Linked DNA regions of Sus scrofa. The protein of the gene in region 2 interacts with the protein of the main gene of each other region in a biochemical or structural test. Links are inferred from orthologs where the notes say so. Each region holds a gene or a part of one and is shown on either strand. Other genes may lie near its edges. The genes, in order: HNF1A and DYRK1B.

Region 1 (3,813 bases), on a different chromosome or scaffold from region 2:
CTCTGCTGGGCATACCTTGCTCCCCAGCTTTGGGGACATCAGGGAAGGGGGCCAAGGAAAGGTTGCTCACCAGTGGGGCTGGCACTGAGCCTATGGGCGGGCTGCAGGTGCTGGATGCCAGCAGGGTCCTGGCTGGGGATGTGGATGGTGGTGGCCTGAGATGCCGGCGTGTGAAGCCCAGACTCGCTGGAGGCCTCAGTATCCGAGGTGAAGACCTGGTGGAAAGGCAGCCTCCTGAGCCCTCCTGGTTGTGCCCTGGGGCAGGGCCCGGGGAGGGGCTGGGGCAAGCCTGGGCCTTACCTGCTTGGTGGGCGTGAGGCTGGCCAGGGCGCTCAGGTTGGTGGTGTCGGTGATGAGCATGGTCTGCGGAAGCAGGCCCGTGTGGGTGTACTGGGCCACCTCGGGCTTGTGGCTGTAGAGGGCTGGCCGGGAGGGGGAGGGGAGGGTATATACATGGCACCTGGGCACCCCTCCCAGGAGGGCCTCAAAGTGGGGGCTCAGGGAAAGTAGGGTGTGGGCCTGGTGAGCAGCCCTGTGGGACAGTAGTTGGGGACTCAGGGTTCATTTCCAGGTCTGGGAGCTCCAGATAGAAGAGTTGGATGCGCTCCCCAACTACAGGGGCCTGCTTTGCCTAGTCTGGTGGAGAGGAGTCTGGGGGAGTCCAGGAACCCAAACCCAGCTCCTTCACGTGGAATTACCAGGTGTGAAAGGGAACAAGAGGCACAGGTGCTGTTGTCCTAAGCACCGACCTTGGAGGGAAAGGCTGGCGCCCCCTGTTGGGGGGTGGGGGGGACAGCATATCTCTACTCCAGGACCCTCTCCACAGTGTAACCCAACCTTTCACCTGTAGTCAGTCCCCAGCCCCACAAAAACACAGATGCCAGCAGAAAAATAACACAAATCGCATGGATAAAAATCTACCCACCCAGGAGTTCTCTTTTGGCTTAGCAGGTTAATGATCCCGTGTTGTCACTGCTCTGGCTCTGGTTCCCACAGTGGCGCAGGTTTGATCCCTGGCCCAGGAACTTCTGCATCCCATCGGCTTAGCCCCCCCCCCAAAAAAAAACCTCAATGGTTTCCAAATGAGACAGCTTGAGGGGGATGGGGGAGGAGGCACTGAGGGTTTGGGAAGGAAATGCTATAAAATTTGGTTGTGATGATCGTTGTACAACTATAAATGTAATAAAATTCACTGAGTAATTTTTTTAAAAAGGATGTAATGTAAACCTATATACAGTTAAGGTTAATTGCAAATAGAGATTCACAGATCAGTGGTGGTAAAAGAGGTGCTTCCTTTGTGTTGTCTGGTTTTTTGTGCTATAGCATGTCTTTATTTTTTTTTTCTATCATAAATTCCTTGTCTAAATTTCCACTCTTTAGCCCAAGTTTGGTCTCTAGTAGAGCAAATGTACTTCCCGCTGGAGTGAAACCAAGCATGCATGAGGCTTCTAGTTTAAACCACTTTCCTAAGTTATCCTAGGGCCCCACCTAGCTCTGACCTTGGTTTTTTTATTTTTTTTATTTTTATTTTTATTTTTTTTTGTCTTTTGTTGTTGTTGTTGCTATTTCTTGGGCCGCTCCCACGGCATATGGAGGTTCCCAGGCGAGGGGTCGAATCGGAGCTGTAGCCACCGGCCTACGCCAGAGCCACAGCAACGCGGGATCCGAGCCGCGTCTGCAACCTACACCACAGCTCACGGCAACGCCGGATCGTTAACCCACTGAGCAAGGGCAGGGACCGAACCCGCAACCTCATGGTTCCTAGTCAGATTCGTTAACCACTGCGCCACGACGGGAACTCCGGACCTTGGTTTTTTTAAATTTACCTTTATTTAGCCCTTTATTACCTATATTTTTTCATGGTGTAGTGTCTTCATCTTACTAAATTGAAGGAGTGGTACTTTAAATTCAACTCACTGAACATTCGTTGATAATGTACATTGTCCTAAAACTTTTACTGTTTTGTTACTTTAGGATCAATATAGTGTATCAGTATGGAGACTTTAATACCTACTGGCTTTGGAAATTTCCTCTCTGTTTACATTAAAATACATGCAACTTGGTAAAAAAAAACAAAAAAAACAAAAAAAACAAAAACACTCATCCACCCACATTCACTCATAAATGGTGCCCTCAACCAAATACACAGATGTTCAGGTCCACAATCCCTTATCCACGATTCCAAATTCCATAAAGGTCTGAAAACCAATGAGTTTTCATCAGTTTGGCACTAGAGCTCATTTGGTGGCAAAATCTGACCTAAACCTAATGTGAGGCTATGTGGGAATTTATGTTAACTTCCTTCTTAGAATTCTACCTCGTGCTGCAGGAATCCCGGTGTTTGATGACAGGATGTCGCCCACATACACTCACACAAACCCACATGTGCACGAGTGCACACACACACACACACGGCCACACGGATTCACACACTGAAACATTCTGGCCCACAGACACTCATCCTAGCACCCGCAGAGCCCCTGTCACAGAAGCAGTCATGCTTGTACACCCACAGGCCACAGTGTCTGCTAAACAGAAGCCTTCCCCTGAGCTTATCACCAGCCATCCTCCCCCACCACCTCCCCCAGTGTGGGACCAAGGGGCGCTCACCGTGGGGACTCTGCAGCTGGGCCATGGTGGCCATGAAGGGGCTCTGGGCCACGTGGCTCTGCACGGAGGGCATGAGTGGCTGCTGGTAGGAAGGGTGCAGTGGCTGCGAGAACTGGACGGGCTGCAGGGTGGTCAGGCTGCTGCCCATGCTGTTGATGACCGGCACGCTCTGTGCCTGAGTGGAGGCCAGGCCTGGAGCAGGAGGGGCAGGAGTCGGCCAGGCCTTCTGCCACCTCCTTGGCTTCCCCAGACCCAGCCCAGACCCCAGGGGTACCATCCCTCCCTCCTGGGGCCAGTGGATTGGAGGAGGGAATGAAGTGATCAAGAGACACTCTTGCACTAAGAACTGCCACTAAGTTATAGCCCTGGCAAGTGGCTCCATCTCTCTGAGCCACTGGCTCGTTATATGGATGGGGTGGGGAGTGTGTGTGTCAAGCTAGGTTCCCTCGAACCCTTGGGTTTCACAGTAGTACACAGGCCCTGGGGCCTAACTTTCTCTACCCCTCTCTGGGCAGCTCCCTGTCTGTCTTACATATTGAGCTTCTGCATAACCATTCCTGCAAAGAGTCTTTATGGGCTTAAAAAAAAAAAAAAAAAACCTAAACTAAAACCTAGAAAACTTCAGTCCCTTTTACCCCGCTGTTTTGCCATAGCTGTTTTACCTTCTAAACTGTAAATATACACTGTATATAATTTACGTGTTAGGCTGATTGTCTGCCTCCCCACTTGGGTGACTGAGATTTTGGTCTGTTCAGTTCACTTGTGTATCACTAGACGAGCGCAGAGTGGGCCCTAATAAATACATGAATGAAGGAGTCCCAGTTTCTCTCCCAGCTCCTGGATCCTGTGGGAGCACCACACCCAGATGCCTCCCTCCTTCCCCACCAGCTTACCAATGACCAGGGTGGAGGCGCCTGTGTTGGTGAATGTGGGGCCCAGGGAGGCAGGCTCACTAGGCCCGATGGCCATGACCCCGGGAAGTGAGGCCATGATCAGGTTCTGGGGCTGCTGGTTGAGGCCTGGGGATGTCTGCTCCAAGCTGTGCAGCGCTGTCAGGGTGCTGACAGGGGGCAGGGGGCCCCCAGTGGCTGAGACCTTGGAGGGAAAGCCAGACTGAGTCAGAGTAGGGCCCCACCCTGCCTCCCTAGGGACTGCTGCAGAATCTCCCAGCCAGGGGAAGATGGGAAAGGAAAGGTCTCCCCA
Region 2 (3,406 bases):
CGATCTCCATCCCCTGGCCTGACCCTGAGCCCCTATGGGTCACCAGGATCCGGCAATCCGCAGACCTAGCCTCTTCCCACCCTTCCAATCCAGACCCTTTCAAACCACTACCAGCGTCTTCTCAAAGGCCTTCTCACCGGAAGCTGCAAAGCTGACGAGCCCTGTCCTCTTCCCTCCCCAGCTTTAAGAGCACAAGGTAAACAAACGGAGCAAAGTGCCACCCCAGGCTCAAAGGCACCCAACTCCTCCTCCCCCTCCCCCATTCTGGCAGCCTCAAAACTGGCCCCGGGCTTCGTCCTCTCGGGCTCCACTCTTCGCTGTCCTTCGGGCAGGACACCCCAAGGCCCTCTCCATCACCCTCTTCACCCAATGACCCCACCCTCTGTACTTGCAGACACCCTGTCCCAAGCACTACCCTCGGGCCGCTGCACGCGACCATCCAATCCCGTCCTGGTCCTCCGTCGGCCCCGCCCACTCTCTGGCCACACCCACACCTCTAGCCCCGCCCCGGGCCGCACCCGCTGGCCGAGCTGGCAGGAGCTGCCAAAGTCCACTATCTTGATGGCGCTGCGCTTGGGGTTGCAGAGCAGGATGTTCTCGGGCTTGAGGTCGCAGTGAATGATGCTGAGCTCAGGCGTGGCCAGGAAGAGCAGCGCCGTGCAGAGCTGCTGCGCCAGCTTCCGCGTCAGGTTCAGTGAGACGCCGCGGAAGTGCGTGTTGCGCAGGAGGTCGTACAGGTTGTAGGAAAGCAGCTCGAACACCAGGCACAGGTGGTTCCGGAACATGAAGTGCCGCTTCAGGTGCACTGTTGGCAAGGAGGCGAAAATGGGCCGAAGGAGAAGAAATTAAGGCTGAGAGAGGGCCGGTGGCGGCCTGGGGTACCCAATAATAAAGAGATCTTTGTCTCTGCTTCTGGAGCACAGGCCAAACTGTTCTGCTAGCCAGGATTTTATTTCATTTACTTATTTTTTTTGGTTGTGTCCATGGCAGGAGCAAGTTCCCTGGCCAGGGATCGAACCTGTGCCTGTGCCACAGCAGCGACCCGGTGGCTGCAGCGACAACGCTGAATGTTTCACCCGCTGAACCACCACGGAACCCCCTGGGAGGTTTTTTGTTTTGTTTCTTGAGGATGTTTTTATGTCTATAATCTGATTCACACAGGAAGTTAAGTTAGCTCGCTTTTCAAGTCTCTCACATTTTCTGATTTAAACCAAAGAGAAAGTTTCCATTCGGTGCTGATGGGTCTTTAACACCATCCCTACACTTCCCCGTTTAATTTTATAACATTGTTTTAGTCTCAGTTCTGTTTATTTTGTGACAAAGGATACTTGCTTTCCATTTACTGTAAGGAGGTGCATTTTCCTTTTAAAAGAAACACACTCCTTAAATCCACTTTCTTTTTCTTAAGAGGAAGCAGTACAGGAAAGAGGAAAAAACCCAGCAGAGGCGTTTAGAGTGGAGGCTCTGGAATCCACTGTCTGGCCAAATCATAGCTCTACTGAGTACAAACACCTCGATCTTACGCAAGTGACAGCACCTAAGTGCCTCTGTTTCTTCATCTCCAAGCTGTGGGCAATGATGCTCCTTCCCATGGGGCTGTGGAAAACTTACGTAAAGTTCTTACAACAGAGCCTGACCCTTAGAGAGCACCCAATAAACTTTGACCAGCTTTGTCATGTGAATAGGGTAAAAACTGTGAGGGTGGCAGGAGAAATCACTGATGTGGGGGATTACAAACCACACCTTGCCCTGAGGACAGCAGCCCCCTCGGGTACTGAGGGTGGCTCATCCCCACACAGCCCTGCGGCGGGCCTCACCTATGTAGTACTTCATCTCTGTGTCATGCTGGTTCATCAGCTCCAGCAGCCGCAGCTCGATCTGGGCCTGGTTCAGGAAGGCCTTTTTGTTCTTGATGATCTTGATGGCCACCAGCTCCTGCGTCTGATGGTCATAGGCCTTCACCACCTGCCAGGGCAGGGCGCGTCACAAGACGAGGGCAAAGGGGCGCGAGGCACAGAGCCAGGTACCACTCGTCGCCCTCCAGCCAAGGAGACCCACCCATACCACCATCAACGATACTAATACTTCCAAATTGCAAGCTCGCCAATCGTCAGACACTCGTGTCAACGCTGGACATGAGAAAACACAACAACCTTACGTGGAGGGCCTGTTACTGAGGCGCTCTTACAGAAACCGTGGCACAGGGAAACCAGACCGTGCTGGTGAGTGGCCCAGCACGAAACGCGAAGCCACTGAACCGCTGGCTGTGGGGGTCAGCACCAGTGGTGCCCGCTCCTCCCAAGCCCTGGAGCACGGCTGGGGTCGGGGTCATCCCACACCTGGCCAAAGGAGCCTTTGCCAATGAGGGAGTCGATTTCGTAGCGCTCCAGCCAGCGCTCGCCACTGCGCACGATGTAGTCATGGTTGTCGTCGTCGTAACCGTGGTTCAGGACCTTTTTCTCCTTCTTGGTGCTCGAGTCCTGAGGTGGCGCCTGCTGGGCCCGCCGCTTCTTCTTCGCATAGTAAACCTGCCGGGGACCGGCCAGGAGATGCGGACTGGTGAGCGGCCTGTGCTGGCAGGCCAGGACCCCTCCGCACCCAGCCCGGGCCCCCACCCCGCCCACCTCATTGATGTGCTTGTAGGTCTTGATGAGGTCCACGGAGAGCTTGCGCAGCGGGGCCGAGGTCGCGTCTCGGAAGGCCAGGGGCAACCTCCGCGGCAGCAGCCGCACATCAGGCAGTACCTGGGGGGAGGGCGGGGGGCCAGGTGGGCACTGAGGCCAGGCCTTCCCCTCCGACCTCAAGCGGGAGCCCTATCTGGGCAGCTGGTTCCTCGTGACCACAGGCAGGACCATGTGGTCATGGTCTGACCACCCCGCTAGAATGGAAACTCCCCAAGGACAGAGACTTGATCTCCTTCTTGCTTTATGTCCCGTGTCTGGAACAGGGCCTGGCACACAGATGTTCATTAGAAATTTGCTCAGAGAGGGACGGAGTGAACGGTTTACCCCGGACCTTTCATCCCATCCCTTTCGCTCTTTCCTAAACCTCCGTGGGGGAGATCTGAGAGAAACCTGGGGCTCTGCCCGCCCAGTCCTTCACCTGGAACCACCCCTTCTGGGCATTCCCCCTTGAGGGCCCCTATCTTGCTTTACCCTCATTCCCTGGGGCCATCCCAACCCTCACCCTCCACCCTGTGCAGCTCTGCCCAGTTTTTCATCCTAAGGGTCTTGGATCTGGATCCAGCACCCTGGACCTCCCGCTCCAACCCGCTTCAGATTCTACGGTTCAAAACCTAACAGTCTCTACCCCTGAAGCTCCCGACCTGCATCCCCAGGCCCTGCTGACTCCAAGACCCTTTAGGCTCAACCCTCCTCCTCTTTTACCCCCTCTAGATCTTCCTCTC

Evidence for each region.
Region 1: of the proteins of DYRK1B (region 2) and HNF1A, one has a biochemical effect on the other in vitro, tested with the Homo sapiens proteins (2 studies listed by IntAct, with this or other methods). The link is inferred for Sus scrofa from reciprocal best matches to the Homo sapiens genes DYRK1B and HNF1A.

Annotation. Positions count from the first base shown.
Region 1 is NC_010456.5:40,882,049-40,885,861, reverse strand, and holds part of HNF1A (hepatocyte nuclear factor 1-alpha), read right to left. Parts: intron 3,706-3,813; coding exon 3,504-3,705; intron 2,803-3,503; coding exon 2,611-2,802; intron 423-2,610; coding exon 301-422; intron 216-300; coding exon 71-215; intron 1-70. UniProt on the Homo sapiens protein: Transcriptional activator that regulates the tissue specific expression of multiple genes, especially in pancreatic islet cells and in liver. Binds to the inverted palindrome 5'-GTTAATNATTAAC-3'.
Region 2 is NC_010448.4:48,308,360-48,311,765, forward strand, and holds part of DYRK1B (dual specificity tyrosine-phosphorylation-regulated kinase 1B), read right to left. Parts: intron 2,745-3,406; coding exon 2,625-2,744; intron 2,529-2,624; coding exon 2,340-2,528; intron 1,966-2,339; coding exon 1,818-1,965; intron 806-1,817; coding exon 519-805; intron 1-518.